3 linked regions of the Neodiprion lecontei genome follow. The protein of the gene in region 1 purifies or fractionates together with the protein of each later gene. This does not show direct contact. Links are inferred from orthologs where the notes say so. Each region holds a gene or a part of one and is shown in the gene's direction. Other genes may lie near its edges. The genes, in order: exocyst complex component 5, exocyst complex component 8 and exocyst complex component 3.

Evidence for each region.
Region 2: the proteins of exocyst complex component 5 (region 1) and exocyst complex component 8 purify together in Homo sapiens (affinity purification with mass spectrometry; 5 studies listed by BioGRID and IntAct, counting the BioPlex papers as one, with this or other methods). This does not show direct contact. The link is inferred for Neodiprion lecontei from reciprocal best matches to the Homo sapiens genes EXOC5 and EXOC8.
Region 3: the proteins of exocyst complex component 5 (region 1) and exocyst complex component 3 purify together in Homo sapiens (affinity purification with mass spectrometry; 7 studies listed by BioGRID and IntAct, counting the BioPlex papers as one, with this or other methods). This does not show direct contact. The link is inferred for Neodiprion lecontei from reciprocal best matches to the Homo sapiens genes EXOC5 and EXOC3.

The regions. Positions count from the first base shown.
Region 1 is NC_060266.1:861,775-873,681, reverse strand, and holds exocyst complex component 5, read left to right. Parts: upstream 1-5,002; 5' UTR 5,003-5,115; coding exon 5,116-5,148; intron 5,149-5,536; coding exon 5,537-5,983; intron 5,984-6,050; coding exon 6,051-6,628; intron 6,629-6,717; coding exon 6,718-7,206; intron 7,207-7,392; coding exon 7,393-7,900; intron 7,901-7,999; coding exon 8,000-8,098; 3' UTR 8,099-9,034; downstream 9,035-11,907. Other genes in the region: uncharacterized protein LOC107219461, read right to left, coding at 1-7, 235-423, 732-884, 1,161-1,260, 1,356-1,396; uncharacterized protein LOC107219467, read right to left, coding at 2,277-2,393, 2,469-2,603, 2,682-2,876, 2,995-3,189, 3,418-3,609, 3,839-4,027, 4,336-4,488, 4,886-5,002; protein arginine N-methyltransferase 1, read right to left, coding at 9,700-10,782. UniProt on the Homo sapiens protein: Component of the exocyst complex involved in the docking of exocytic vesicles with fusion sites on the plasma membrane.
Region 2 is NC_060263.1:37,097,989-37,109,188, forward strand, and holds exocyst complex component 8, read left to right. Parts: upstream 1-3,959; 5' UTR 3,960-4,048; coding exon 4,049-4,100; intron 4,101-4,378; coding exon of another isoform or gene 4,379-4,397; coding exon 4,398-4,759; intron 4,760-5,072; coding exon 5,073-5,375; intron 5,376-5,496; coding exon 5,497-5,641; intron 5,642-5,724; coding exon 5,725-6,237; intron 6,238-6,334; coding exon 6,335-6,465; intron 6,466-6,566; coding exon 6,567-6,980; intron 6,981-7,051; coding exon 7,052-7,258; 3' UTR 7,259-7,334; downstream 7,335-11,200. Other genes in the region: ATP-binding cassette sub-family F member 2, read left to right, coding at 1-34, 128-271; transmembrane protein 98, read right to left, coding at 1,592-1,601, 1,717-1,988, 2,091-2,223, 2,297-2,406, 2,765-2,902; sperm-associated antigen 7 homolog, read right to left, coding at 8,476-8,606, 8,705-9,042, 9,216-9,304, 9,390-9,457, 9,597-9,675; protein brambleberry, read left to right, coding at 10,636-11,010. UniProt on the Homo sapiens protein: Component of the exocyst complex involved in the docking of exocytic vesicles with fusion sites on the plasma membrane.
Region 3 is NC_060260.1:913,789-923,849, forward strand, and holds exocyst complex component 3, read left to right. Parts: upstream 1-4,003; 5' UTR 4,004-4,108; coding exon 4,109-6,379; 3' UTR 6,380-6,416; downstream 6,417-10,061. Other genes in the region: DDB1- and CUL4-associated factor 13, read right to left, coding at 1-296, 381-528, 613-781, 3,140-3,537, 3,683-3,752; deoxyribose-phosphate aldolase, read left to right, coding at 1,587-1,845, 1,936-2,123, 2,182-2,323, 2,399-2,775, 2,838-3,071; vacuolar protein sorting-associated protein 72 homolog, read left to right, coding at 6,882-7,015, 7,124-7,344, 7,446-7,628, 7,720-7,954, 8,072-8,308, 8,406-8,637. UniProt on the Homo sapiens protein: Component of the exocyst complex involved in the docking of exocytic vesicles with fusion sites on the plasma membrane.

The DNA.
Region 1 (11,907 bases):
TAGCCGTCTGTAATTAGGTATTAGATTGTAATATCGCATGTCGTACACATAGTTTCCACCATATCATTGCGTCAATTTTAGGGCTGTCGAACATTGGAGGAATTTTATTGGTACGAAACAAAATGAAATAAATTGTAATAACAATAAACTCAACGTCAATATTAATATGCTTGCATTTTAAATTAAATATAATTTAAGAACAGCGATCAAAATTGCAAAGTCGCGTTGGCTCACCTTCTGAGTCAGAGTGATCATTTTGGCGTTCAGTGCTTGAATATATTTTTCAGGACGTTTACGAGCTTTCTCAGCTAGAACGCTGAGACATGCAAGAGCTTCCCTTGCGTCTTTCAAATCCTCGTGGATTTCATGGGTTCTGTAGTCTTGCTCCGTCAATCTCATGTCTTTCTCATCTGCCGAAGCCATCTGTAATGAGGTATTGGATTGTAATATCGCATGTCGTGTACATAGTTTCCACCATATCTTTGGGTCGATTTCAGGTCTGTTAAAGATTGGAGGAATTTTATTGGATCGAAACAAAATGAAATAAATTATAATAACAATAAACTCAACAACAATATTAACATGTCAACTATGAAGGAATATTACCGCTCGACTTTATCTGGTTGGTACACGCGATAGAATTTTAACCAAGCAAATAAATTATAACAACCATAAACCTAACGACAATGCTAACACGTTATCTGCGAAGGATTACTATCGCTAGACCTTACCTTTAGGCGTTTGCGGTTAAACTGCTCGCTAAGCCTCTTTAGACCCGATTTGTCTCTCGGGTCATCCGCGATACACGCACAAGGTGACACGTCCTTTGGACCCAAGAGCGAACACAAAAACATACACGCTCGAATTCGCAACATCCAAAGTACCTGTAACAGGTCCGGCCACAGAGTTCCAAACGAAGATTATAAATCTCTGAGTTCATCCAAGGACATGAAGGCGGTTTTTTCTTTTAATTCTTATTCAATGTCAGTTAACTCGGTATGTTTATCATTTAATTTCTACCTTAGTTCAGCAGTCTCTAAATCAAAGTCGTACTTTTCTTGTCTCGGAACATAAAAACTTCCGTTAAAGAGGATCTAATTTTACTCCATAAACGAGTAATAACGAGAGCCCGTATAGCCTCGCAAACTTACTTCACTTACTTTAGAATACTTAGCCTCTGAAGAGTAGAAGCTGGATTGAAGCTGGCAATTCACTTTTCCAACATCTTTGCTAATAGTTTTCACGGAATCAGTTCCCTTTCTAAATCAGAGATTTGAAGTTGGCGTGATTTTAATCTTCCAATTAATGCTTCGACTTCAGCTGATCATAAGTAATTGATTATCAATCTGCCTTACTGCAAAAAATTTTTACTTCCTGGGTGTAATACCAAGTTCATAATTAACAAAATACAAACGATTTTAGCAATTCTTTAACTTCTTACAACGGCAGCAGCAAACTCAGCTTTTTTCCCTATAAGAACGCCAGTTTTATAAATTCCTCGTCGCATCAATTCAATTCATGATAAAGCTTTGCTTCAAACACCTCATCCTTTGTAGACATTACCATTTCTAGTTACGACACTTTTGCCCTCTGTGAATACAATGAAAATTCAATGAAATTATGTAATCTTTAAATATGCAGATTTTAGCTGGCCAATTGATCTGAAACAATGATTTCACGCGTATTATACGTATATGTCCGTTTCGTTTCTTATACCAGCAATTCAATCAATCCTCAAGTTGGTTTCTGATTTTTTTTTCCACAACTTTTTCATTCTTGGGACTCTGAACTTTTTTTTATTCCCCCCCCCCCCAACATAGCCTGCACATTTGGCTTACCGATATTTTCTTTGTTTGGCTCCGTTAAATTTATCGGAATGCTGTAAACGACGTAGAAAAGGTATTTACAGCTTTACATATTACCGTTCAAAAGTTTGCAATAACGGACTGTACAACGTTCCGTGATTTTGAACTGTGATTCATTCATCATCTTCCCAGCATTCGATTCGCCGATCAATTGTTGATTTTCCCTCATTAAATCTTGGATCCGATCCTAAATTTCCACGTTCAATTTCCAATTCAATGACGTTTCACGGTTCAAGTTAGTCAAATTTACCTGCGCATTGTGAAGTTCTTACTGCAAGGTACTAGTCTGATTGAACAGAGCTTGATAGTGTTGCATTTGTTCGTTTATTTATTTATTTACGCATAAAAATGGTTACATAATATAAAGTTTAATCTGATTATTTTAATCCGCTCTGCAATTTAAGCCACACGTCATTCTTTCCCTGTATGCCTAAAAAGGACCAATTCGTCACTCTCCAATTGCTCTCTTAATTTCCTTATGAAACGGAATTCTTCTACATCATCCGTCAATTTATCGAACGGTTCGATCTGTAATGAAAGAATTGTTCTCACATACTCTGCTTCTTTGTCCCAGTAGTAAATAATTATTCTAAATTAACTCACAAGATTGGCGGCCTCTTCTTCCAATAAACGTAGTTCATTTTTCGCTAGGTCAAATGCTGAGGTTACATCGGTCATCGCAACTTGGGCCTTCTTTCTTACTCGCGATTTTGGATTGTGCACTTTGATTTCTGAAGCCTAGACGGAAGAAAACGAAGTAAAATATACAATGTTCTTATAGGGGGCTGATGTTATTCAGTCAGAAAGTTAAATCACCATGATACGAAGCTTTACTTGAAGAATATCACGTTCTACAGTGAGTTGACCAATACTTTTCATTAACTCAGCAAGTAACGGTTTACCCGTCAAGGTATCAGGAGATGGAGGCTCAGGTATTGCTATTGGTTTTCTATTTCGACATTTTGGATCTTGAACATTCAGCTTCCCAATCTGCCCTTCGATTAGCTTGAGCTAGAAATTAATAAATAAATAAATAAAATATAGCAGTAAAATATGTGCATTAATCTACATTTTAATTTGAATGTAATTTAAGAACAGCGATCATAATTGCAAATTCGTGTTGGCTCACCTGCTCAGTCAGAGTGATCATTCTGCTGTCCATTCTTTGACACATTTCTTCTGTAGCAGGCCTACCAAATCCGTCAACTTTACTGCTGCTAGCTTCGAGAGCTTCCTTCATTTCTTCATTCCAATAATCATCCATTTCGACGGTTACGTCATCTTGCTCGCTGATACTTTGTTCTTTTTGTTTTGCAGAAGTTATCTGTAATTAGGTATTAGATTGTAATATCGCATGTCGTGCACATAGTTTCCACCATATCCTTCAGTCAATTTTAGGTCTGTTAGACTTTAGAGAATTTCGTTGGAACAAAACGAAACAGGTAATAAATTGTAATAACAATTAACTCAACCACAATATTAATATGTTTGCTTGTTAATTTAAATCTAATTTAAGAACAGCGATCAAAGTTGCGAATTCGTGTTGGCTCACCTTCTCAATCGGAGTGGTTATGTTGGTGTCCAGTTGTTGAAGATTTTGTTCAGGCGACTTACCAGCTCCGTCAACTTTACTGCTGCTAGCTTCAAGAGCTTCCTTCATTGCTTCATTCCAATACTCATCCATTTCGACGGTTACGTAATCTTGCTCGCTGATACTTTGTTCTTTTTGTTTTGCAGAAGTTATCTGTAATTAGGTATTAGATTGTAATATCGCATGTCGTGCACATAGTTTCCACCATATCCTTCAGTCAATTTTAGGTCTGTTAGACTTTAGAGAATTTCGTTGGAACAAAAACGAAACAGGTAATAAATTATAATAACAATTAACTCAACCACAATATTAATATGTTTGCTTGTTAATTTAAATCTAATTTAAGAACAGTGATCAAAGTTGCGAATTCGTGTTGGCTCACCTTCTCAATCGGAGTGGTTATGTTGGTGTCCAGTTGTTGAAGATTTTGTTCAGGCGACTTACCAGCTCCGTCAACTTTACTGCTGCCAGCTTCGGGAGCTTCTTTTGCTTCTTTCGAATGCTCATCAATTTCGGCGGCTGCGTCATCTTGCGCGCTGATACTTTGTACTTTTTGTTTTGCAGAAGCCATCTGTAATTAGGTATTGGATTGTAATATCGCATGTCGTGCACATAGTTTCCACCATATCTTTGGGTCAATTTCAGGTCTGTTAAAGATTGGAGGAATTTTATTGGATCGAAACAAAATGAAATAAATTATAATAACAATAAACTCAACAACAATATTAACATGTCAACTATGAAGGAATATTACCGCACGACTTTATCTGGCTGGTACACACGATAGCATTTTAGTCAAGCAAATAAATTATAACAACCATAAACCTAACGACAATGCTAACACGTTATCTGCGAAGGATTACTATCGCTAGACCTTACCTTTAGGCGTTTGCGGTTAAACTGCTCGCTAATCCTCTTTAGACCCGATTTGTCTCTCGGGTCATCCGCGATACACACACAAGGTGACACGTCCTTTGGACCCAAGAGCGAACACAAAAACATACACGCTCGAATTCGCAACATCCAAAGTACCTGTAACAGGTCCGGCCACAGAGTTCCAAACGGAGATTATAATTTAGAGAGAGATGGAAGTTGGGGTGATTTTAATTTTCCATTCAATGCTTCGACTTCAGCTGATCAAAAGTAATTGATTACCAATCTACCGTACTACATCAAATTTTTGCTTTCTAGGTATAATATCAAGTTCCTAATCAACAAAATATAAACAATTTTAGCAATTTTTTAACTTTGTACAAGGGCAGCAGCAAACTCAGCTTTTTTCCCTACAAGAACGCCAGTTTTATAAATTGCTCATTGGGTGGATTTAATTTGTTTCATTCAGAAGAATTATTTCAACACTTATACACGTGTTTTGGTAATCCTTCATTAATGTTACAATTCATGCGGCGTCTTGTTTCTTTTTTCTTACTTTCAAATTTGAATCTTTTCTTCGCGCTTCACGGTATACGATTGGTAGAACTGGTTTCTGTAGAATCGAGCCCTTCCCCAATTTCTGAATTAATCGAATCATGATCGAATCAAGCATCTGTCAACCTCTTACTTCGTGCTATCAACACGCCCCACGCAAGGCGACAGATCGCTTAGCAGTTTGATGACGCCGATATTATCGTCAACACATTCGGCAAAAACAACGAAAAGATGATGCAACAATACATGAAGGAGCTGGAGCAGGCAAGTACTAATTCCCATGTGAAAACTGAATTTCTCGTCGAATTCCCGAAGGGATATCAAAAATTCAAACCATCATAACCTAGTAAAAAAATATAACACTCAGATGCGTTAGATGATTTTTAACAAATTTTTTTACTAGTACGTCAGTTCTCCATTCGAACGTATTACCAGATTTCAATATTCCTGTATAATTCCAGTTTATACTTTCTCTCTACTCTGTCTAGAAACTTATTCTCCATAAATAGTAATTTCACTAACTATGCCTACTTCACACTTGCAAACCGTGCAATGATTCTTGTTAATCTCATGTAGAAAAGGGTTTATACCTGTCGACTATAAATAAATAAATAAATAAAACATTCTCCATTCTTTCCACTTTCTATTTCAGGAGCCGTTCGATTCCGAGGAATTTGTGGAGCGCCTGGCTTGGAGAACTGTTAATGACACGTTTAAAGACGGTGGAGACAAGAGCTCCTTTGATCCAGTGCTGGTCCACGAGACGTTTCTGCAGGCAATTAAGGATTTGAGGGTGCTACAGGAGCGACAACAGAAAAAATGCGACAGGCTGGAGGCGGCATGCAAGGAGGAGGAGATTAGGCACGCGCTAGAGATCCTCGAACTCCAGGAGAAGAACAAATACGCCATGAAGTTGTTCCATCAGCTTGACGAGAGAATCAACTTTGTCGCCACGAAGGTGCTGCACCTGGGTGACCAGCTCGAGAGCGTCAACACTCCGAGAGCACGCGCCGTCGAAGCCCAAAAGTTGATGAGACACTTTGCAGAGTTTCTGAGTCCCGGGCCTTTAACGGACCCAGTTTTCACCGACAAATCGTCGGTGCGTAGAAAACGAGGCTTTCCGGAGTCGTTTAACTTTTCATTATCGATTGCTTCTGATTTCCCAGCTTGACGAGGCAGCGGACGTGATACAAAAACTACATTTGATAGCACAAGAGCTTCCATCCGACAAGTTTGACGGCGCCAAAAAGAAGATCAGCGCTAAGTACGACGAGATTGAGCGGAGCTTGATAGAGGAGTTTGCCAGGGCTCACAGCGGAGAAGACGCCACACGGATGAAGGAGCTGGCCTCGATCCTGTCTCACTTCAAGGGCTATTCGCAGTGTGTCGACGCGTTCATCGAGCACAGCCAAATGGGTTCGTTCGGCGGCAAGGATGTTTTTCAGGATGTCATACCGATGTGCACCAAGAACTACAAACTGATGCAGCAGGTATTCGCTAACCCGACTCAAGTTATGGCCAAATTTGTCCTCAACATTTACCATCTCAGGCTGCAAAAATACGTTGTGGCGAAGCTTACCGATCGTACGGACTCCGACAAGTATCTGAAGAATCTTTATGACCTCTACTCAAAGACGATCAAACTATCCAACGATCTGAAGCGGTTTGATATGGGAACAGACGAGGCTTACCTCGCCAAACTCACCAGGAATATCTTTCAGAAACATCTCGATTCCTACATAAGGTAACACAGGCTCAGCCGCCCACTCCGTGTCCTGTTTTTGCGCTTCATTGGCGGTAGACCAACAAAGAATTATATTTCCTTGATTTCAGTATCGAGACCAAGTCTCTCCGTGAGAAGTCTGCATCCCTGTTGATCAAGTACTACGAGTCTAAGAATCACCAGAAAAAGCAACTGCAAACCGGGGGCTTCCAGGAGCTGAGGAGAGACTTGCAAGCCGTAATCGGCACTAGAACGAACATCAATATAGCCCAGATTGAAGATTACGGCGGTGAGACCTTCCTCTCCGAGGAGTTGGCCATCGCTCTACTCCAGGAGAGCAAACTGGCTTTTCAACGGTGCCAGATCCTCTCACAATCAAGCGACTTACCTGTAAACGCTCTGCAGATACTAGAAATCCTGCTACAGTATCTCACCAGCGAACACGTTGACTATGCTCTGGAATTGGGACTCCAAAGTGTCCCCATACCTGAGAGCGGATGTCAACCTGAAATCCACTTCTTCAACGTAGTCAGACGGTGCAACGCCATCATTCATCTGCTCGAAAAGCAATTCAACGACAGCCTCGTACCGCTAGTCATGTATGCAATTGTTTCATTTCAAATAGAGATCCGTCATTAATACTTTTTTGAAAACCTGGATACCTGATGTACAGAAAAGTTTACATTGGTTCTGACTTACAAGGAATTCTCGTTAGCAGTTGAAATATCTTACGTTTAAATTATTCTAAAGAAATGACCCCGTACTAATCATCTCACGTCTCATAGATCAACGTCAAAGCATGGGGATTGCCTGGCGAAGAAGAAAGCCGTCTTGGAGCAGCTGGAATTGAAACTGGACACGGGTTTGGACCGAAGTATAAACGCGATAGTTGGCTGGGTGAAAATTTACTTGCAGAATGAGCAGCGCAAGACAGACTTCAAGCCGGAATCGGACGTCGATACGTTGAACACCCCTGCCTGTTTAGTTGTGGTTCAATACGTTTCGACGATGATAACTCACATAAGAGACAGACTGGACGAAAAGAACGTCGAAAGTGTTCTCACAGAATTGGGGGTCAGATTCCACAGGGTGATATATGAACACTTGCAGCAGTTTCAGTTCAATTCTGCCGGCGCAATGTGCGCCATTTGTGACATGAATGCTTACAGAGAGTGTGCTAAAAATCTCAAAGTCAGCCTAGTCACGAATCTCTTTGACACATTGCACGCTCTCTGCAATTTGCTCCTCGTCAAGCCTGAGAATTTGAAGCAGGTCTGCACTGGGGATCAATTGGTAAGTTTTAAGTTACGACACATCGATTTCTGGCTTCTATAAAAGCATCGGTGATGTTTGTAATATCATATCGAACTGCAAATCCTATTTTTTTTGCAGGCCATGCTCGACAGGTCCATATTGATAAATTTTATACAGCTCAGGACAGACTACAAGACTCAGAAGTTGGCAAATTGTTTGAAAGGCCTTGCTGCCTAGATGGTAGAATTCAACAGAGAGAAGCGATCAATCAGTTTTCACAGCTTGCGCAAAGAACGACTGATCATCTCGATCTTGGTTTTAAGAGGAATACGAAAACGATTGAGGTATAACGATAATATTTTGTAAATAATAATCGTAATATTTAATACATATATATTATTATATATATACATATATGTATTATAGTATGTGTATATATATATATAATTATATATATATACCTTTCCAAGCGGAAAGTTGTGTAGGAAACAAACTGTAAATAACTAAAGCTCAGTGTATATTGAGACACAATTTCATTTCGAATATAATTTTCCCTTCATTTTTTCTTCAGTCACTTGAAACAAACAATCAAAGGGCAAAGAAATAACGAAAATTCGCGATATTCATAGCAAATGTATTAATTTTATTGTTACATACATAATTATATAATCACGTTGCAATGGAACCCTGGCATATTATGGGACTCAAAGAAATGGGATGAGAGTGGGGAAAGAAGTTTGTTTTTCGTGTTCCGTTTTCCGTTTTCACATCAATCTAACAAACAGTAATGATTCCTTATAAAAATTATACATAGTATAATATATACAGCTGCACTGTGACTTGGCAGTCTGTCGGCATGATTAGAAATACGTTTGCCTGCTGGTTTGACAATTACCTGGTCTAGTTAGCAACCTAGTAGAAAACCGATTTTACCTGACTAGAATTATCAATTCAGACAAAGAAGATTCTCCGTTGTTACAATTATTATGTGAATCGAAATCAATAATAGAACAATAATCGATAGCCTAGTCCCTGTGTCGATAAATCATTTACTTCCACGTTCGATGATGTGAATTGGTCATTGTTTTTGAAATATTGGCTAATATTTCATTATCGCTTAGATTTGAATTATAACCTATTCGGAGCATATACTATTTTTCATCGGTCATTGAAGTCGAACAACAAAAATAATGTTAAAAATAGGAGCTTCAAAAACTCCGAATTGTTAGTCTACATTTCAATTCCTATACTTCCAAGTAAATATGTAATTTTATTGGTACTAGGAAAAAAAATGTATGAACAAAAACAATAGCATGGCAAAAGGATGCTGTTGCGGGTAGAAACATCCTTGCCATTAATCGAGAATACCATTTGTCTGACAAAAGCGAGTTAAAATCAAGAAAAAACTAAAAAGAAGAATATTTGATGTAAGAACCTGTGAGCCAAATATGTTATAATTAAGATAACTTACAGGGGATTAGTATTAATTGTATAGGAAAATTCATCTTTGTGATGTTTGGTTAATTTGTCCCTCTTCAAGGAAGATCAATGTAAAGTATGGTAATTTTTTAATTTTTTTTTTAATTTTTATTATTTCTTCTAATTTCTCCTAAATAAAAATGGAATCCCATTTTTCCACAACGGATTATCGCGAACATCCAAGCTTCTCCTTTTGACCCACGGCTCGGGTCAGGTCGTAATTTTTGTCGTTATCGGACCAGAGTGGCACGGCTGAGTGAGCCACGAGAATTGGCCGAAAGGCGGACTTAATATCTAATAGAGAATGCGGAAGTAGCTAGATCAATTTTCGTATTTTCTCTTTATACGCCAAGTGTGAATCAGCGCATGCGGTACGTATTAGTTTCGTGCACCTCGCACAATTCACCCTTGAAGTCAAGTTCGATGCTGAAGTCGAGGTCTCGATTATTTCTCGCGTTGGGCTTCATTGAGAACACTCCATATATTTCCTCCCCTTTTTTCACAGTCATGTAATCGTCAAAGTAAAATACAGTCTGTTTCCAGTGCGTGTACTGCGCCTCAGGCGCCGTACTGAATCCTATGCGTTTGTGGCACTTGGTAAACTCTATGTTGAAGAATGTGACCAGAGCCTGGACGTAGTCGTTCCTTCTCACCTGTAGATTGAACGGCGACGTGAAATCCAGGTCCGCCTTTGTTACCGTGTACAGATCGACCTCTTTTATCAGGCAAGCATTCGTCACAACCTGTTTTGGGTCGACAACGTCCACCAGCGGCTCGCTTATCGCAACTTTCCTGATACTGCTCATGTCAAATCCGTAGACGTCGTCCCACCAGTTTATCTTCTCGTCCTTATACTGGCGGTCCTCGATGCCGCATATGAAAAGTGTCGCCTTGTCCGGAAACAGCATTCCGTCTTCACACAGCCACTTATCTCGGGCAAACAGGACCGTGTCCAGCATCGATTCGTAGAACAAGCAGTAGCCCATCCATTCGGATATTATTATGTCTACCTTCTCAATACCATCCGGCAGAGTCACTTCCTCCACTTTTCCCTTCAGGATCGTTATCACATTCGAGAGCTGGTTCGCCTCCACGATCTTCTTTGCGTACTCGACTATGTTCGAGCACTCAATGCCGATGACGCGAGCCGCCCCTGCCTTGGCTGCGAACATCGACAGGATACCTGTGCCGCAGCCTATGTCCAGTACCGTTTTACCCTTGAACAGGTGCTTGTTGTGGTACATACTGTTTCTGTACGTCATTGTCCTTATCTCATCCTTCAGCATCTCTTCATGAATCCCAAAGTGTGCATACGAGTCGAAGTAGTAGTCTCGCGAGGTCATATCGTCCACTGACACTGCCTCCTTGTCATTTGGCGTCGCTGCGTCCTTTCCCAATGGCACCACTGGCTCAGCTACTTCCATGGTTTCCATCTTAAGTGTCTATAAATGAGAAATTTTATTTATTTATAATTAACAGGTGTAAATCCTTTAATACACGACAATAAGTACACTTTAGAATCCATTGCATAGTAGCAGGTTTTTGTGCAGATATGGTTTGAATCTAAAATTACACATCTCAAATAATCTATGATACTTTTTCTTTGGACGAAATGCGCAAATGACTTTTTTAGGATACCACTTAGGATGGGTATAATGATTGATAGTAATCTTAGAAATATGTTTCTCGATTAAATCAAAAATGGAACAATGTAATGATTCAACATGGCGATTTGAGAGTAGATCAGATACATCAACTTGACTGGGCACCTCGGCAATAAAGTTGTTCGGCTCAGCAAGTTGTTACTAGTGGTAAGAAGCATGATATCGAGAAGCAAGTGAAAGGCATCACAATAAAAAATTGAATCATGAGAAATATTGCAAGAAGAATTTGATAAGTTAGAGAATATAAGATTGAACACATTGCCTCTCGAGATCAAGATATTGTTGTTGTTGCTGAGACTAAAAGAATGAAAAAAATCAAAGGGCAAAGAAAGCAGCACTGCGAATTTCAACATTGACAAAATTCCCCAACGTCTATACATTTTTCAAACAAAAATACATACACTCTGTATATGATTTTAGATGTGAATTGAAAGAATATCGATACATTAAACATTACAGATCTCAGAACAAATTCAAATTTTCTTTTCAGGTCTGCCGTAATCCCGAAGCTAGATAAACAGATGAAAATGCAAAATACTAGTTAACGAACGATTTTAGAAATAATTCACTAATACTCAAATGCGTAAAAAATTTAACTGTATGAATTCTGGTCTGATGGTAAATTTTACAAAACACGAGGCGAAGGTTGTTTGGTTAGAAAACTTAAGAAGCCGGTGGCCGCGACTGTTTCGTGTAAAGTTTGAATTACGGCGCTTGTGAGATATCGGATAAAATTTGGATATTCTTGGACACGTGTCGATTTTACTTACGATAGAGTTCATGTGCGTTAAACTAATCTACGAAAGGTTGTCGGCTGTTTGATTGACCAACTATTTAGCCCGGTTACAGCGCGACGCGGTATAACTCGCGATGATCGTGGAAACAAAATGAAAGCCTGCGTCC
Region 2 (11,200 bases), on another chromosome or scaffold:
CTTAGTGTCCCATGACTTTAGACTAATTAATCAGGTGCGTTTATACTTAGTGACAATTAAATAGTTTGTTATAATCAGGTTCTCCGATTATATCTCATTTTATTATTTTTTTTTTTTATTTCAACAGGTAGCGGAAGAAATTTGGGTGTGTGAAAATGGGACGGTAACAAAATGGCAAGGTGGCATCTTAAATTACAAAGAACACTTGAAGACCAAGGTGTTGAAGGATAATCAGAAAAATCAAAAAGAATTTGCTAATAGAGGCAAATAATTGATGTTATTCTGAAAACCATTTTATTCCTTTTATATTGCACCCCCAATTATATAGAAATTTTACCGAAAAATAAACTTGCCTGCCATCTTAAATTGGTGCTGCTGTGTAGCACGAAGATGGCTTGAGCTATCTTAGCTAATTTATTTAAAACGATAAATCAGTAATAACTAATTACAATGACCTAATTGATTAATTAACAGAAACCGTTGCCCTTTGGGATTAAATCCCTATGGTCTCAGAGATTGTAATTTGAATCTAATTATTGAATATTAATAAAATACTTGAAAGAATATGGTAATTAGTAAAAACTCACAATATCCTTTTTCATTCGTTTAACATTGCAGTAACAAATTTTATACATTAGATGGAATTTTTTAAATTTTTTTCAAAAATATTACGTTGTTTACTCGTCGTTTGATGTGGATTAGTAAATACAAAATATATCTGTGAATACAAGTGTAAATGTATGGCTTGTTTCTTGATATGCATGTATTAACAAAAATAGAATCATTGCGCCGCAACATATACTGGTTTATTCCAGTATTAGGTGCATATTTAAATAGAAATATCTCAAACTTCAAAATGATGTACAATGTAGCAATATAGATATATAAGTAATAACAATGCATTAGTCAGCCATAGTGAGCCACTCTTTTATTGACGTATAATAGATTTCGTTCCAATATTGTTATAATCTGTGGCACTGATGGCTGAGTTGAAATTATCTACCACGTGTTTGCGAGATAAATTTCCGGGCTCGAAATGATATTAGATTATTTTTAATGAATCAGGTTGATTCGGTTAACTACAGATTCCAATACTTGAAACTTCTTGGGCGAATATCATTCACGAAACGTCGTGTAGCTTGACAGAATCATTTGAATAGATAAAAAGTAACATATTTACAAAGGTCAAGTAGAAAAAGAATTCTCTTTGTAGATCTGTCAAGTTTCTTTCGTAAATTGTTCGTATAAACGCACCATATATATATTGTAGTAAAATCGTATAAAAATTTGATTGCGCATTTATATAAATATATGACATACATAAATATAGTCTATTTTATAATCTAAAAACCACAAAATATCTTCATAAAACATCAACAATGAACAGGAGTTTCAAAAATTGAAAATACTTTGAGGTTTTGGAAGTTAATCATATTACTTGGAATACATATACAAATGAAACATATTGTCTTGGTGTAAGAGGGCAGCGAATCATACGATAAAACTATGCCGCTTCAAAAATTGAATGGTGACTCACAGCTTTGATATATCAACTGTAAATATCACGAAACGGAATTCATAGTTTTAGTTATCATTTTAATCTGTGAAATAAACAAGAGGATTTGACCCTCCATACTTGCATTTTAAAGGTAGAAAAATTCCCCATGTCAAGACAAAATTTCTCGCTCTTGCTGATCAACATTTATGGAAGCTTACACTGAGGTAGACGCTGGGATGGCACAAGCTGCTTCCTGTGCCAGTGCGGCTTCCCGTAAAACTAAGAGATGTAAATCCATGTCACTGAGGGCCTGATCGATAAATGCCAACTTCCTTGCCTGACTTTTCGGTATTCCATGTTTCGTAACGAGGGCCAAGTTGGTGACTGCTAAAACTAGAGCTGCTACTCTTGCTTCCAGTAAACGAGCATCTAGGGGTGGGTAGAGGCTACGTACAACATCATCAACCCTTGGTGGTATGCGTCTGGCAACCTAAATTGGAGTAATAGTGAGCTTGAATTTTAATCTAAATTATTATGCATATGTGTGTATAGGTTTGAAATTTTTTTATCTTTTTCTTTGGTTTCAACTTACGTCTACAATTTCAAGAGGTACTGTGTTGCTGTTTACTGTTCCAGCAATTTTGGTCAAACTCGCTGCCAGGGAATGGCATGATCTTAGCACTGCTATACACGGTGGAGCCAAACCAGTCGCATCGTCAACCCACCTTTAAATGATCAAAGATAATTATACTTCAGGACTAAGTCTAATTCATCCAATTATCAAAAGCTGAGTTTCACCTCTCAGCATTAACCAGCCATTCTTCGCCCTCCCAAGCATCCAAACTCAGAGCTCCACCATTTTCGCTTTCCAACAAATCTGAATTCAAATCATGGGAATCCTTCTGTTTCTGAAAATATTACATCAGTTTCGTTATCAAAAAATATATTTTGTGATCACCTACAAAGCTGAAGACTTTGATGATGAAACTAATCCAAGAAAGCTATGAAAGCGGTATCTTGCTTATCGGTAATAATATTCAAATAAAGGATGCAATGCAATATGTGGCATCCAAGTATATCGAAACTGTACAGAGCATGAACAGAAATGGTTCAATTTTTCTACTGGAAGGCCATTGGTATAACGTTACAAATAGCTTGGAAGTAAGTGAATAATTTCGTTTTATAAATAAGGATACAAAATAATACAGGCTACGACCACTGAGCTATTTACCTAAGTATATAAAGTTGTATAAATGGCAAACTTACATGATAGCATCGTTGTCTTCTACAAATGACTAACAAAACGAGAAGCGCGCCAAGAAAAACAGCAGCAAGAGCACCAAGGGCGACTGCAACAACCGTCTCCATACCAGCCATGCTCCCAACCGGTACCGAAGAACTCATGTTGTTGTTACGAGCTCTTCAAGCCAGGGTAATATCCAATTACTAATAAGCCTTTGTAGCCGTCTCTGTAAGGCTGCAAGCCACTTGTTGCGTGAGTAAAATACAATGTGTCATGAGATTAGGACAACTAAATAACTAACAGACTTGTACTTGTAAAAAAAAAGAACAAACTAAGACGCGAATTAGCCACACCACTTGCCACCTCTTAATTAATTTTCAACAGTTGTTCATTTGTATACGCATCCTTGGTTTCAGTGGGAGGCAGAGACTGTCACGGGCTTTGTACTGTACACACATACTACTTTCAACTGGTCATATGTGATTTCAACGTGTGTGAATATCTCACTGATTGTCAATAGCTTTCATGCAATTGTGTGCATCTAGGCGTGCAAGTCGTGTATGGTCAATCACACGGATGGATTAAGGAGTGCTGTTAATCGTTACACGTTTGCTGCATCAGATTCATTGCATCAAGCTGGATAAATTCTATATTTATTCGTTATACGAATTTAGAGGTACGACATACCAGCGTCTGTGCAGTTGGGCACGATTTGTCAGAAACACGAATACATGTACGGTACTAATTGAGTGAACTACTTGTTACAATATTTTTGACAGAAACAGATCATTCGCGATTTCATGAGGCAGCAGTCATTCCTTAGATCCGAAAATTTGCCCTGAAATGACGTGGCTTCGGTAAAAATTATACAAACATCATAACAAAAGAACTTTTCTAAAATATTTGACAAGTCAATATGAAGATTGTATTTCAGTTGATATGTCCGTTAAATTTTCGGATAGAGTGCGACACTATCGGTTTTGTATGTCCCCCCCCCCCCCCCCTTATTATTAGATGTCGCCTAACTCATCCCTAAAAACTCTCGCATTCGGAATTCGTGAAGCAGTGTGGTACATACCTCGAGTTCATGGATTGTTTAATTCAGTTTCAAATAAATTCCACATTTATCATACACGTAGCGTAGTTGTCAAAAGATTTCTTGATAATCCCACTGAATAAAATTCCTTCCTTTCAAAAGCGAGAAGCACATAAAATTGCAACTGTCATGTCGTCATGGGAGGCGTGACGAGCCTTACGTCTGTCGGATTATAGTATTTAATCAAAGGTAATACTGAATACACGCAAACATGACTGACCTGATGAAAAATCTCGGTTCCGATGACTTTAATCCAGAAAAATGTAAGTTCTTCTACTTTTGAATAGATTTTAAGCAATATTCTTATATGCTAATACAGGTTATGTTCTCAAATGAGATAGAATCATGAAATGAAACGATGCGAACAATGCTCTATTCAATAAGTGAACCAATACAATACGTTATTTATTTAAAAACTTTCCGCCGTATTTAACAAATTACTTGAATCTAAAAATAAGGTCCTCATTTGCTGTGCTGTTAATTAACAGAATTTAGTGCATTTACATAATATACGATTATCAATTCTACTACTCACGTGTAGTTTATTTCATCTATTACAGTTGTCAAAGAGTTGAGCAGTCAGTGCGTCGGCGTGGACGAGCTGAGACAGCAGAGGGCAAAGATTCAAATACTCGCTGACAGCACGTCGGCACAATTGAAAAAAAATGTTTACCAAAATTATATGCAGTTTATCGAAACAGCCAAGGAAATATCTCACTTGGAAAGCGAAATGTATCAGTTGTCACAATTACTGGGAGAACAACGCTCACTTTTGGGAACTCTTGGTGCTATCGGTGCGACTGGGGTTGTTTTTGATGAGAACATAGAAACTCAAAATGGGGAATCTCATAATGCTGGTACCAAAGAAGAGGAACAAAAATCGAAACTGATTCAACTACTGGAGAATGTTGAAGGTGCCATGGTCAGTTTCAAATTAAAATAAAAAATTTATTAAATCATTGTTCATTATTATATTAGATGCAAAACGAATTATTTTGTCAGCTATATTTCAATCAATTTGGTAAGATTGTATCACAATTTCTATGTAAGACAGATTATTCACCACTTTCTTACATCCACAACTTATGGTATATTATTGGATGAAACGCATTTTCTGATAGCTGATTTTTAGTAGTATCTATTTTTGATGGAAGTTTGGTATCAGAAAAAATCTAGAGACTCAAATCTAAGCTGAAACATTTCACTTGTGATATCTGAAACCTTTCTTATTACAGAGCTTGGTAGAGACACCAGGTCGGATTTGTTTACACGAAGGATCTCTGCTTGAACTTGACCCATTGGAAGGAACACCCCTGAAAAGGATTCACGCCTATTTATTCAACGACGTTCTAATGATCGCCTCATGGTTAGCCACTGGTGGAAGGCGTGGCCCACCCAGATATAAAATGCAAGCTGTTTATGATTTGCAGAGTTTAGCCGTTGTCAATGTTAGAGATCTGGGAACTGTCAAATTAGCCTTCAAACTCTTGGCTTTTCCTGATACGAGGGTCTTTCAGTGTGCGACAGCAACAAGCAAGGTTATTAGCAGACCTATTTTTCCTATTACGCAGTCCGATAGTAACTTTGTAGTTGAAACACGAATATATTAAACTCTCCAAGATTTTGGAATATATTTTCATGCTTTGTACGTTTTTGCAGAAAGAATGGTTGGATAAATGTGAACAAGCTAAAAAAGCAAGACTAGTGCAAGAAGATCAAACTAAATCAGTTGATAAGGATAGAAATCTAAAAGATGAACACATAGCACCATCTCGCTCAATGTCTCTAGATTCAAACACAATAGGTAAGTTTCAGTAAGTAGAGTTTCGCATTTTAGGCGGTATGTAAGGATATTACGTAAAAATTAATGATCGTAATTGTAACCAGGCACGGAAGATAGTCCAGAAGCAGAGGGTACCGAATCTCTACCCGAATGGTTGTTAGAAGTTGCCGAGGACCTAGATTCTTGTATAGCACAACGTCATTTTGAAGAAGCTTACAATTTGTTAGAGAAAGCAAGATCTTATCTGAGCGAAGCTCAAACAACGCCTGTATTAGTTGGTATCAAGGCTAAAGTTGACGATAGAGCACAGTCTCTGGTCGACGTTCTTACCAAAGAATTGGAATTGAGTTCTGAAGCAAAGTCACTTCAAGGGGGAGGCCTGAGGAGTGCGAGAAGAGCTGTAAGATTATTAATTCAGTTGGATCAAAGTGTCCAAGCTTGTCAACTGTTTTTAAGATTATGTAATGCTGCACTGAAAGCTCAATTGAAACGAGTTAAAAGAGAAGGCCCCACAATACCTTACGTCAAACAGCTGAGCGCCATCGCCTTTAGCAACGTGGCTGAAATGGCTAGAGAGTTTTTACGTATTTTCCCAAATTCTGCGAATTGCACTTCTGGTAAGGTAAAATACACTAGATCACATTTAAACCTGTCCAGTACATCACGTATGTTGAAGAATTCAATGAAGCTAACCTCTAATCACATCTTTTACAGCTCTGGTAGTCTGGTGTGGTCAAGAGGTCAACCATTTAACGTCACATTTGATTAAACAAGTTTTCATACCACAAGTTTCTACGAACACGCTTGCAGAATGCATTGTGGCTGTAAGGAGCCACTGCGATCAGGTAATTATGGTCACAGCAATTGTTAAGCGTTTAATTACAGTAATATACTATTGAAATTGAATACAGAAGTCGTTTGTTCTTATCAATAACTTCATATGTAGCTGACGCAGCTGGGTATAGATCTTCGCTACCAATTGGATGGCCATCTCAGAACTCCATTGGCTAGAGCTCTGCAAGATGCTGGCGAAAAGTACGTTGACGCGATTAAGGTTCGGGCAGCTGAGGATACTTGGCGCCCGTCCAATCAGTCTAGCCAAAACCTCCAGAAGCTTATGACAGAGCTTGAAGATCTCGGAATTGGTGTTCCATTGTCTTACATGACAAGTGAAACATGGTTATCACTGACAAGTAATACACTGGCATTCTCAAGACTGTACGTTGGATTACTTGAGGATTGTCTTAGCGTTAATACACCAGAATTGATGATAACCATAGACAGTGTTCTTGTATCTGTAATGCGAGCTCAAGTACAACACCTTTTGGCATCTCTAAGTAATCCAAAATTTAAACAAGAGGTAATAATTAGTGATCGTCACTACTTGAGGATTGATCACGAATGTCTAATCAATATGATTTACTGTTACAGAGAAAAGTGGTGGAAGATAATGCAGTTTATATCAGAGACATTGTAATTGGTAGAGGACTTGAACTTTACCAAAGTGCGACAGCAAGACCATTTACAAAACTAGTCACGTTGAAAGATCAAATTGTCTTCGAACCTGTTGCCGCAACGAAGCCTAGACCTGCGCCAAGAACAGCAGTTACAAAGTACTCGACTACAGAATATATATGACTCATTTTTCACTTGTAAGGTATGTCAAATTTTATATTAATATATATGTAAAATAAAAATTTAAAACGCCTAATAATATTGAATGATTGTAATTATTTGTCTTGGTAAGTATTGTATGCTTGTATGTGTAATGAATAGTTTCACGACGCTAAAAACGCATCTACCATTTCTACAAGATGTTTTTCTTCTAATTATATTTATCAGAAAGAAACGAGAAATTGAACTATTATTATATCGCATTATCAGTACTTCCAGAGATACAAATGGATAACGAGAAAAATTGGTATAAAAAGTCTTGACGACATATTTTTTGCAAACTTTAGTAATATTCGAATTTATGGAGTAACAATACATGTACGTGTGAAGGAACTTATGCAATAAAGAACATACTCTCGGACATGAATAATTAACGAAATTATTCTTATTCACTAATCAGTCTGTCGCTGACATTTCTCCTATTTCATGTATTCTATATAACTAGAGCACTTTTTGAATCGCATACTAATTCTACAAATTTAAAACTAATACAGCATTACCTAACTCATCTTTTTTCAATTGTTAACGCTGAATGAATATTGTTTCGTATCGATTAAAGCATAGTACTAAAGTTTGTCCGATAAACACGTATTAAGTTGAATTTAAAATAAATATGGAGCGCATTCCATGTAAATATATTTCGGATTCAGCTAATAACTTACCATGTGTTATGTTTAAATAACAAATTCAACGTACATTAATAATATCATTCGCAGAAGATAATGCTATCTCTGTACAAAATTGGTAAATCATATTATTAATCTACATTGAATTTTTTATTTAAACATAACACGTGTTAAATTGAATTGAAAATTAATATAGAATGCATCCCATATAAATATATTTAGGATTCAGGTAATAAATTAATATGTGTTATGTTTAAATAACAAGCTACATGTAGATTAATAATATCATTGTCAGAAGATAATGACGATCTCTGTACAAAATTGGTGCACAGGTTACTTTGCAATCGGGACTTGATTAATCACATGTGGCATCTTGAAAGAAACGGAATAAAGCTCTGTAGTTTATCCGTAGTATTTCAATGCCAATGAATGATTGTGATTCATCTAATGTACGATAACTAATTATATTAGAACAGAAAAATACTTATTACCTATTTACAGTTTAGCAGTGCAATTAATTTCACTCTACAACATAATTATTCAACTAAGCTCACATCATTCAGGGACATTTTCTTCTTCTGGTTCCAATGCTTGATTTGCTGGTTCTTCAGTCTTCTTCTTTTTCGCACGAATATCTGCTAGAGTTTCCTCAATACTTCGCTGATCTTTTTTGTTTTCACTTGGGACTGAAAAAAGAATCGAGGTGGTATAAGAAAAATTTTCGTTGGTGAACCACGAGCATGATGCTGGGCAAAGTAACTTGAATAGTTGAATAAATTTTTACCAAATCCATAACTACGATTAGTTTCAGTTTTTCTGGCTGCTTGTAAGGCAGCTTCTTCTCCAATCAGATGCTTATACTTGTCTTTATAATTGGTTATCGGTACAAATTCTTGTTTTCTCTTCCTAGATTTGTTTGCTTCCTCATCTTCTTTAGCTTGTCTTTCTCTTTCCTCGTTTAATCTCTTGGCTATTTCCTCATTCCATTCTTCTCCTCTACGCAATGCATTTAAGTGGTCTTCGGTTGGAGCATATTCCCTTTTAAATATTATTATATATCTATCGACTCCCTCCATCCCAAAAGAATATGCTAATACATTGGCGACTTCTGCAACATCGTGTCTGAAAAACAACGGTTTCTCAATATAGAGTTAATTTCTAGCTTTTCATATTTTTTGGTGGAAACAATTTTCAGACTTGAAAAAAAGATTGAATTGAGAGAGTAAAAGTGGTCTTGGTTACTCAAAGTGTAATACATATAATGATTGGGGCGCGAAATAAATTAAATTATTTACATAATGCTTCTGTAGACCTGTTCCATAGGTTGAAATTTACATTCTCGAGCCGCACCATTTTGCAGAAATTTATTTATCTTTTCTTCAACCTACAAACAGAGTAAAATATCTACAATCATGGTCAAGTGTTTTTTGGAATATCGTAATTGTATCACTCAGGATCATTCGTCATACCTTTTCTCTAAACACCTTCAGTTTTTCCGCTTCCACTATTTGACGTTTCTCAATTTCTTCTCGTTGCTCTATAAAATGTGTAAAATTGATTTCATTAAATAAATGGTACACTTATTATACGTGGTAATTGTTTAATCGTTATCGTAACTTGTTTGAAGAGTGAAAAAAAAAAAATTTGCAGAAAGGAGGGTTATGTACGAAACTGACTTTTCATCAATGCTTTCTGCTTATCGCTCACACTCGGTGGCTTATCCATTGAATTTAAAATTGAGCCAAGCAGATCCATGGTTCTCAATTAATCAATCAATTCCGAAATCACGGTGTTAACTATTAATTTATTAATCTTGTCTGTTCGATACGAAGAATGTATGTAATAGTCACGCACTCTTCTTATCATAAGCGCAATGCCAAGCGCAAAGTCAAGCAAAGCAAAGTCGGAATCTGTCGGTAAGGTAGTGTAAAAAATTATCCGTTACAGGCAGTTTTTAATTTCGCTAACTGATGGCGTTCTGGTCGATCAGATGTCCGTTGAAGTTTCAGTTTGAATTTAGTTTAAAAGGCTGAGATAGAAAGAGCAACAAGAACAAACATCGTCACGTTCGCGTGAACGTTGATCGTTGGTTTTCGTCGCGTAATCGAATTAATTATTCAAGTTTAAATGCCAATAATCAACGGATTAGGCGACGTTAATCTACTGTTACTTTACTTTAAACAATAAGTGGTGATCGGCGTGTGTGCTCAATATTTTGTCTCGAACAAATAGGTGCTTCTATTTTAGTCACTGAGTGAGAAATGTTACTCAATTCTGTAAGTTCTTGGCACTAAATAAAAATACCTCATTTTCTCGTTATTCGGGAAGTAATTATACATTGTCAATTGACCGTCACACGAATGTGACGAGACTCCGAAACGTAACGTCCGTTTAGCACACTTTATCTTATTACTTCAATCTTTAAGGCGTTCACTGATTCTGTAAAAAGTATACAGGTGTATGTTTATTTATTTATTTATTTATATATTTGCATATTTATTTTAAGTGACAGTTGACCTATCCGCAGTCTTATCTATCCGGGAACTTGACGCTTGTGATAATTTCAGTGCATAGGTTATAAGTTGTCAAAGTTTCGTAAAAGTTCATTCCACACTTTGGCAATTTCTAGCCAACTGTAAACAAATTCTGAAGATACAGTTGAACAACGTTTTTCTTTAAACCTCTGATACCAGATTTGTATATTTTTATTTAAAAATGAGACAGTCGTGTTTCTTTGTTGTACTTTTTACCGTCTTGACGTACCAAGATGGAAATGCTTCGATATATGATTGGGTCTGGAGTAAAAATTCCGAGGAATCAAATGATGTCGTGCCATCGGATGGCATTCCCTTGGTTTCCATCCCTTATGAATCCATGACGGAAGATGAAAAGTTTCTCCAGGAGGCAGCAAAGTTTTCAGAAATTCAAGTTTCCTCAGCGCTGGATACTTGTCAGCACAAAGTCGTCATGAAAATAAAAACGTCATGCAGTGACATGACTGAGGAAGAACTTGCTAAAATGAGCGTCAGCTTATTGAATTGTCAGTCTGCTGCCGAAGGGAGAAAATTGTTTCCGTGCACCGAGGAAATGGTAATATGATTTAATTTATTTTGAGCAATAAGAATTTCAATAGATTATGATTTTCTTAGAAATTATAAAATTGAATGATTTCGTTCATGCAAACTGTTACGGCATTTGTATTTTTTTGAATTTCAAGCAAGTGTGTCTAGCAATTCGATTCTGCCTCCGCACAAAAAAAAAAAAGAAGAAGAAAAACGTG
Region 3 (10,061 bases), on another chromosome or scaffold:
CAAGCTTTTCGGAAGCCCTAGACTTCCAAATTCTGATGTTCATCTCGTCACTACCACACAAAATGTACTTGTCGTCTAGTGACCACCCGACACAAGTAAGCCTTTGCATACGTTTAGTGTGATAAACGTCTCGCGAATGACCTTTAGCCACATCGAAAATTCGGATCGATTTATCATATCCTCCAGAGACAAATTCCTTACCCGTCGGGGCGTAATCTACATCTACAACTGCACCAACGTGATCCATGTGCACGTTCACAGGAGACTTCAATTTTCGCGTATCAAACGTGTAGAGGCTGAGCGAGAAAAAAAATTAAATTGTAAAAACTGGGATGCCCCGATTTATAGCCTCGAAATTTTATGTAAAAAATGAGTTTTACTTATAATCCTCGCTGGCGCAGGTAAAAACAAAAGCCTCCATCGGATTCCACGATATCTTATTGTTTCTTAGCTTCATGACTACTTTTCGCAGTGGACCAGATTCCCTCGTATCATATAAAATTGTGCTTCTGTCGCTGGCACAGGCAACTGCAATAATAAATATAATGAGATTATACTATAAATATGCCCAGATCTTAGTATAAAAATAGGATACAATCATACGTCATTTACCTAACAAGTTCGTTTGGATAGGATTGAATTTAACATCGTGTAAACTGTCCACACCCCACTTCAAAGTCCGCACAGGTTCATTTCTGGTCTCTTCCCAGATTTGACATACCTCGCCACAGGTTGCAAACACAGGGTCTTTTCGATGATGACTCAAGCCCGTTAGGACAGTCTGCAATTTGACAGTAAAACACCAAGTTGATTTAGCAGCTCTTTTTATTTACCAACACCATAACTTGCGTTTGAATATCCCGCCTAAACTCCATACTCGTCAAACTCGGTGTAGATAGCGCCAATGTTCTAGTATTTTTTTTGCGAGCGTAAAATCAAATAATATATTTGTGCCAAAACTGTCAAATAATTTTCGCGACAGTATATCTGTGCAATAATCAAAATATATTTGTTTTCCACAATTGACCCATGCTTAAAACTGTCTATTACGAAGAGAAATGAGCTACTTGACAAATAAATTCATTAAAGTAAGTGTTATTTAATTATGAAAAGTAAAGTTTTATAACTCAATTTTTCAGCCTCTGTAAAACAAGTAACTGTGGCCTCAACTACGCGAGGGTCCCAGTGAAGACCCCTATTGACAGATAACCTTCCATAAATAGCAGGTCCGTTCAGGTCACGGTCTTCTACAAAATTCTGAGCACTCAGTCTCTAAAACTCATCGGCATACAGAATGGACCGCGCGTTCCCTGCCTGAGCAATGCACAGAATATGTCCGCCGCTGTGCAAGCGAGATAAAGCATTGCAGTGTTAATCGCTGTCTCTTTCCAAGACCGCTATTGATTGAATATCCCACCGCGTAGCTGAAACAAGAACACGAATAGGCCCGTACTGCTGTCCGTCTCTTTCCATTCGGCGGACACGTTTTTGGCCCGCTCTCGCAGTCCATTCTTTATGTCGATGCTAAAACCGTGACCTAAAAATGTGCCAGGTGGCGCCGGTGAGGGGGAGGCTGGCTTTTATATATGCCTCTTTGTTGCACACCCTGCACACTCCGGCTACCGAAATTGCAGCGTTATCAACACGGTTACGCCGCGCTCTATGGCAAAAAGATCGGAGTTGATAGAAGTGCCCGCATCTGTGTAGAAGACAGTGGTTCTAGTTCACTAATTTTGATAAGACAGTTTTCCAAGTTCTTTACCAAGCACCGTTACTCTTCTATCTTAAAATTACTCAACTCCATCAAGATGGTAGAAAAGAACCTTGGCAGACCATTTGATGCTTGTAAGAGATTCAACTGTATTCCTTTCTGGGTGTGAAACTTGTTCAAAGTAGTAAAAATTGAAGTAAGCTAATAACTTTTTACTATTCCAGCCTTGATCAAGCGCATCAATTTAAATGTACCAGCCATAAATACCAGAGTTAGATATATCATTGAAAAGGCGAATAGTATTACCGAATGCAACCGTGTAGCATGGCTGATCAAAGCAGTAACATGCATAGATCTGACGACACTGGGTGGTGATGACACTTTTGCAAGTGTTGAAAGACTCACTAAGAAGGTGACATTAAATGCAGACTGTTTGGATGGATGTGATCTAACAATTTCAATATTTTCAGGCTGTTAAGCCTATCGTATTACCATTTGAATGGGAAGGCTCTCTGTCTACTGCAGCAGTTTGTGTATATCCTGCGCGTGTCGCCGATGTTGTGCAAACATTGAAAAACCTTAATGCCACGGGAAAAGTCAACGTGGCTAGCGGTAAGAAATGTCTGACTCAAAATTTCACATAAAAACAACAACGATGAGTTTACAAATGTCCAATGATGTGCATAGTTGCTACCGGATTCCCAAGCGGTCAATATCCGTTGCAAACCCGGATGGATGAAATTTCGCTCGCAGTTTCGAACGGAGCTACAGAAATAGATATTGTCATAAATCGAACGCTAGCGTTAACTCATCAGTGGGAAAAACTATACAATGAGATTAAATTAATGAAGCAAGCCTGTGGAAAAGCAAAAATGAAGACTATTTTAGCAACTGGTGAACTTTTTGACCTCAAAGATGTGTATAGAGCATCAATAATCGCAGCGATGGCTGGATCAGATTTTATAAAAACTTCTACCGGAAAAGAAACGGTAAATGCTACCTTACCTGTTGGGATTGTCATGTGCAGAGCTATTCGGGACTACCATAACTTGACTGGTTACAAGGTACGGGCAATAAGTTAGTAATTTCGTTCGAAATACTTTTGGTAACACTTGCGTATTTTCAGGTCGGATTTAAACCAGCTGGAGGTATAAAAACTTGGGGAGAAGCGCTGCAGTGGCTGGTATTGATCAAGGAAGAACTGAGCGATGTATGGCTCCATAATAGCCTGTTCAGAATCGGCGCTTCGAGTGTGCTAGGTGACATCACTAGCGAGATTAATAGGTCTTTGGATGAAGTTAAAGAGGCTAAAGTACCTACTTTATACGAGCATGAGAACTTTGATGATTCAGACAAATAAAAGTATCTTCAAAAACTTGCGTTAATTTTGTTTAATAATTTAAGAGGATTTTACAGATACGAACTCACCTTACTAACAATGGTGTTAATAGGATCCTCCTGTTCTCCCGTTATTGAACTTTCTGCCTTCCAGGTCTTTATAGTTTTGTCATCGCCGATACTCAGAAAGCTTTCCCCATCCGATGAAAATGCAATACCTCGAACTATACCGTCGTGAGCCAGAAACGAGCGCTCGCATACGCGTTGCGATAAATTCCACACTTTAATCTCTCCATCAAATGCTCCGCTCAAAAGCATCGATAACTTTAGAGGGTGCTTGGAAAGACAAGACACACTGTCTTTGTGGCCATCCAAACTCCCTATGAATGGCTTGGCGAATACTCTCTCTAGCTTGACTGCATTTAAAGCCCTTGTATACTCTCTCGCAGCCTCAAACGGATGCAGGGATGGATCGTAGTTTCTGGGAACTAGAAGAAATCAAGTATTTTAGTAAATATGTATAAAAAATGAAAGAAAAAAGATTAATTTTCTTTTTTGTCGGTTTCGCTGCAAATCCAGTGTACACAATACGGTTTATAGGTTAGAAAAACTAGGTAGAAATACGTGCAATACCTTTATGAATATCTCGTTTGGTTTCTCTCAGATATTCATCGGGATTTCTGCAGAGCACCTTGACTTTCATTTTGGTACAGGACCAGCCCTCTGTCGTAAATTATCCAATATGTAAGTCGATTGATAATTACAAAACATGTGAGAAAAACGCACTATGAAATCTAAGGGCTACTGTGCCATGTGTATGAATCTGTATGAACTATGTTTGAAAATGAAGTAACCTAGGATTGGTCGGATCTAACGGAACACACTAATGATATCGCTTTATTAGCTAAAAACTTCGCCGATCAAGAAAATTAAATGCAACATGGCTCTGGTGTGTAGATGGGGGCTCATGGGGGCGTCAGCTGTGTTATAACCTCAAAAACTGACGGCTGTCAAACGCTTACTATCAACAAACAGAGTGATTGAGGTTTAAAAATAATAATGACGAACGAGAGCGGAGAAAAAATGCTGGACCTTCGAAAATCTGAAGAGGAAGCTAAGGCAACAGCGACGAAACACATAATAAATATGCTCCAGCGTCCTGGTCAGCTGGAAAAAGTAGAACATTACAAGCGTAGGATCAGTCGGAAAAAAGCTTCGATTGAAACGAAGTTGAAAACTGCGATGCAAAGTCAATTGGACGGGGTGAGAGTCGGTTTCAATCAGCTTCAAGAGTCGCTGGAAAGTATCTCCTTGATTAAACAAGAACTGGACCTGATCGGCGAGTCATTTGGCTCCGCTCCTGAGCTGAACAACACTCTGCAGGCTGTTCAAGATGAGAACATGCGACACTCGCAGTACGTCACCGCTAAAGAGAACCTGAAACACATATTCACTGTTCCAGAAAGCGTTGAGAAGACGAAGCAATGGATAAACGAAGGAAAACTTTTACACGCCCATCAGAGTTTGATGGATTTGGAGAATTCGAGGGACGACTTGCTGTACGAACTGCACAAGCTGCCCAATCAATCACTCGCCGATAAAGTCATGCTGAAAGCGTACTTTGAAGATGTAGAAACTTTGTCGCAGTTAATGGAAAAGCAAATTAAATTGGTTGTTGGTCGCACTTTAAACACTGTCAGAAAAGAACCAACCATCATTGTTACGGCGCTGAGGATAATTGAACGGGAAGAGAAGGCGGATCAGTTTGCAATTCAAAGGCATAAGCAGAGCGGATTCATGCCTCCGGGAAGACCGAAGAATTGGAAAAAGATGGCAATTGAAGTATTGGAGAAATCTGTGGCCAACAGAGTCGAGGGAACTCATGTAGATGAACGAGCAGACAATAAAATGTGGCTGGCAAGGTATCTGGAATTGGCACGTCTCCTCATCCTCGAGGACCTAAGGGTGGTAAAAACACTGTGCGGACCTTGCTTCCCACCCTCTTACAACATAGTCAGGAAGTTTGTAGAGATGTACCATAACAGTCTATCTCAACACTTGAAAGACATAATAGCAAATGGCCTAGAGGGTAACGAATACGTATCTCTGCTTGCCTGGATAATGAACACTTATACAGGTGTAGAACTAATGCAACACCCGGAGCTGAACATCGACACCAGTGATATAGGACCTTTGCTGAGCAACGAGGTCCTGGAGGAACTGCAGGATCAATACTTGAAGAACATGCAACAGAACTATGAAGAATGGATGAAGAAGACATTGGAAACTGAAAAGGTTGACTGGTGGAGCGGAGTACTGCCAGAAGGTAGTACGCAAGAAACCTATTACCACACGGCAGCACCGGTAATCATATTTCAAATGGTGGATCAGAATCTCCAAGTAACGAAAACGATCAGCAATCAACTAACTGCCAGAGCGCTTGTCCTTTGTATAGACCAAGTTGTGAGATACTGTGCGGCGTATCGTCAGGCCATACTTGAGTTCAAAAGCAAACATTTCGAGGATCGGAGCAGAGTTCCTTACTTCACTCACCACATGATCACCATTGTAAACAATTGCCTTCAGTTTATTGAACTCGCTCAGCAAATGAAACAACTTTACTGGGTTTCCAATGCCAGCGGTGATGCTGCTGTCAGGTTTGAGGCTCTCCTGGCCAATTACCAACAGCTGAGAGATGAGGCGGCGACCATTTTATTGGAGGAGTCGTTCCTAGACTTGGAACTCCACTTCCAAGATCTCCTCACCCCAAAATGGCTCTCCTCGCCGATACCCGTAGAAACGATCTGCGTAACCTTGGAGGACTATTTTCAGGACTATAATCACCTTAGAGTAAAGAATTTTGAATATGTCATTACAGAGGCTCAAAATCTGATAGCTAAACGATATATAGCAGCTATGCTGCAGCGAAAGATATCGCTAAAGACGTACGACGAATGTCTCACTTGCACATCAAAAATTATGACAGAGGCTGATAAGATAAAGAATTTTTTCGTCAGAATTGCACCCAAAGTGGGCAACTTTGATTCGCCTTTCGAAGTAATAAAAAGACTGGCCGAAGTACTGCGTTGCGAGGATTCTGAAATTTTATCTTTGGATCTACATTCACTCGTTGAAAAATACCCTGACATGACCGAAGATCATCTCGTACGATTGTTGAGTCTCCGAGGAGACATACCGAGAGCTACAGCTAGGGAAAAAGTAGCGTACATATACGAAGCTCAACGTAATCGAACAGCTCCACAGCCCATGCCTAATAGTATATTTAAGCAAATTGTCATCCAGGATAGTTTCTTAAATTGGAAACCCTGAGTACTGTAAATAAATAATTTTTCGTCTTGTATAGAAATTTGTCTAGTTATTAAAAATGGGAAAGGTTTTTCGGTTCACTTCTATATCCCACTCCACAGAGCTAGCTGTACGGGCATTTCTGTCAGAAATTGTGCTCTGCATGTTCAGCCAATAAGTATACATTCAGCAATGTCGGCAAAATTTTCTTCAATCAAACGTGTTATCATTTGTAGCTGACGTCACAATTCGAAACGTCTTAATTCTATTCTGAAAAAAAAATTACACTCGAATATAGAAGGTTCGTTGTTTTTCAGTTTGAAAAAAAAACAGTCGTCTGACAGTTGCGCACAGCCACGCGTTTGGCGAGAACACGAAAGTGTGATCTAACCTCAAAAACCCACGTCAATAGTGGCTTGAGCCTCACAGGCATCACTGAATCAAAGATCTTCTCCTCGAATGAACAATAATTAATAAGAAAGTGAACTATTGAATCAATCGTGCTGTCAAAAAACATTTCTCTACGATGGCATCGACGAGAGAGAGACGTTCCAATGCTGGGAATAAAATGGCAAGATTACTCAACGAAGAAGAAGAGGATGATTTCTATAAAACTACATACGGAGGGTTCGAAGAAGTCGAGCAGGATAACGATTACATGTTAGTTAGATGAGAATTTCAATTGACAAACATTCTGTTTAATATTTCCATAAAATTAGTATTTCACTCACAGAATAATACTTCATTGTAATGTTGTTGAATACTCAGGGAAGAGGACGAAGGCGAGGATGAAGTGGACTCAGATTTTAGTATAGACGAAAATGACGAGCCTGTTTCCGATCCCGAACAAGAAGGACCCAAAAAAAAACGACGCCTTGTTACAAAGGCATACAAAGAGCCTAAACCTACCTCAGCACACTCACATTCTACTCCTAAAGAGAAAAAGACTAAGACACCCAGGCAACGTCGAACTTCTATTGACAATTCAGGTATATCAGGAAATATCAATGGCGATAAACGTGATCATAGCCATTCGATCAGCAGTATTTATAGCCTCATGCCAAACTACTATCCCCGTTTCGTTTTAAAGAGAGAAAATCCATTCGTCGTTCTACTGCTGCAAAGTCGGCAGCGACCCAAAGACGACTCAAAGAGAGAAATGAGGATCTGAAGAGAAAAGTTAAGACTGTAAAGTACGACGTTTGGAAGCCAACGCAGGAAGAACTGTTGGAGGAAGCCCTCATCACGGAGGAAGTAAATTTAAAATCATTAGGTAATGAATAATACTGCTGGCAAGTAAAAAGACATGATTGTCTGTGCCGATGGATGGTTATTCAACTCATACTTTTAACATGTTTTGACAGAAAAATACCAAAAGTTAGAGAACGAGAAGAAAAACACGAGGACAGTGCGAAAGACAAATGTTGGCCCCATTATACGTTACCAATCTTTGTCTATGCCTGTTTTGATGCTGTCTGAAACACAAGCTGACAAAGATGAGGAAAAAATTAACGTCGAAGCTGACGATGAAAAAAATACCACTAATACAACCAGTGATATTCTAGAACCTGGATTATCACCTCCCTTGTCTGAAAAACAGTGAGACTTAAATTGGTCGTTATTTGTGTAAAGCCTTTTGCAATATGCAGACCGCAATAAAAAACAAAAACGTCCATAACTGCCGTAGTTCTAACTACTTTCAAAATTATTTTTCAGAGAAATAATGGATCAACAAAAAACTATTGACGGCGGTAACAAAGATACACCTATTAAACAGAAGGGAGAATCGAGCTCAGCTCCTAATGAAGCTGAAAGTCAAATCATTCATGAAGATACAGGTTCTAAATACGAAAGAACTTTCATCACATTTGAAAACGAACGACTTTTTACGGAAGCTTTCAAACGTACACCTGCTCCTCGCCCCTCACTAAAATCTCTTTGTGCAATTACAAGGTAAGTTACGGCCTTTCGACATTGATGTATTACTCCTGAAGGTGATTACTTTGAAATAATCAGGTACTAATACACTATATTTTCTGAATGATTTTAGACTTCCTGCACGGTATATGGATCCAGTGACACAGCTACCGTACAGAAATATACAAATGTTTAGAATATTAAGAGAGGCGTATTATCAACAGCTGGAATCTCGTGCAGAGACAAACGATGCTACTCAAAACCTTGAATTGGTACGGTGGCTTGAATGGCGTCAGAAAAATCGTCGCAATAATAACAGAAATACGATTCGTCTGGAACCCGCTTCAGTGTCGCAGGCATCTTAGCTGATCCTTCTGGTCAATCGCTATTCCTTGTAGCATTGAACAGTCTTTTGTCACATCATTTGACATGACACTGGATAATTATTTTATCAAATGCCTGCTTCAGTATTTTCATACGAAAATGAGAATGAAAATCGAAAAAATCGAAGCAATTTACACCACTTTCCCTTTCGAAAATATGGAAATTGCTTCTACTCTGTTGGGTAGATGACTTCCTTCGAGGGATTTTAAGAATTGGGATTGGATTAAAAAATATCTATTTTTTAAACGAACGGAACGAGTTTCAATGGTTTTTATTGTTTTTTTTTTTTTTCTTTTTTTTTAATAAAGCTTTGCCACTTCACATTAACTAGTAGAATAAGTTAAAGTTTTTTTGTTTTCATATTCTTTATTGCTAAAATGCAAATTTATCATTTACCTACATGGATTTAATCAGGAAACCACAATCAGCACTAAGACGTTTTCTATTTGATACAACGAAAGAGACGTCTTTATTTCAATATGAATAAAATTAAATGTGTAGAAAAAAAAAATTAGGTATGTAATTGTAATTAATAATAAGGTTAGTAAATTACGCATATCATAAGGTTTTCATAACAGTGTGTTTAATTTTTTAATTTTTTCTTTCTCAAGATTTTTTTCCTTCATTTCTTCTAAAGCATGTTTTGTATAGTAATTAGGAGTTGTTAATCTCTCGTGTAGTGCGCGAAGCCTAGACATTTCAAGTTCCACAACGTGTTGTTCGCTGTTGCCTTTGCTTCGATTTATTTCATTCAGTTCCAAGTCATTCTATTTTACGACAAAGATGGTTCTCGCAATCTGCAACGCGTCTACACGCGTATCAAACCAATCAATCATTTATCTGTACATGCTCAAAATGTCTTCCTGGTCGCAATCTTAAATTAAATTTAAATGTCTACGTGAAATTGTTTATTATTTTTTTACCTTTGTTTTTTCATTTTTTAAATTAATATTTCACACGTTTTTCTGGACACGAAGCTGTTTGTAAAAAATAAAGTCGAAAAGCATACAGTTTAGTGCTTGCGCGTATCATTTTATTTTAATTCTACTACGTGCGCGCGAGAGCAAGTAGTGATCAACATGGAGTCATTCCCATCTTCGTCGTTTCGTCTTTATTGATATTTAGTATTTTCATTACGACGTCTGCTCTGCACAATTATCATTGTAATTGTGTTATTATTTATAAATTGTTTATAGTATATGTACTCGTGATCATCACACTATGCGTAGAGAAGAATAATTATATATGTATTACAAAGAAGCGGTAATACAACATTTAATTATCATAACGTAATATATATATATATATACATACATATATGTATAATAGTGTAGATATATATGTGTATATATATGTATATGTATAGTAGTAAATAAGACAAATTTGAATAGAGGGCAGAATGGTG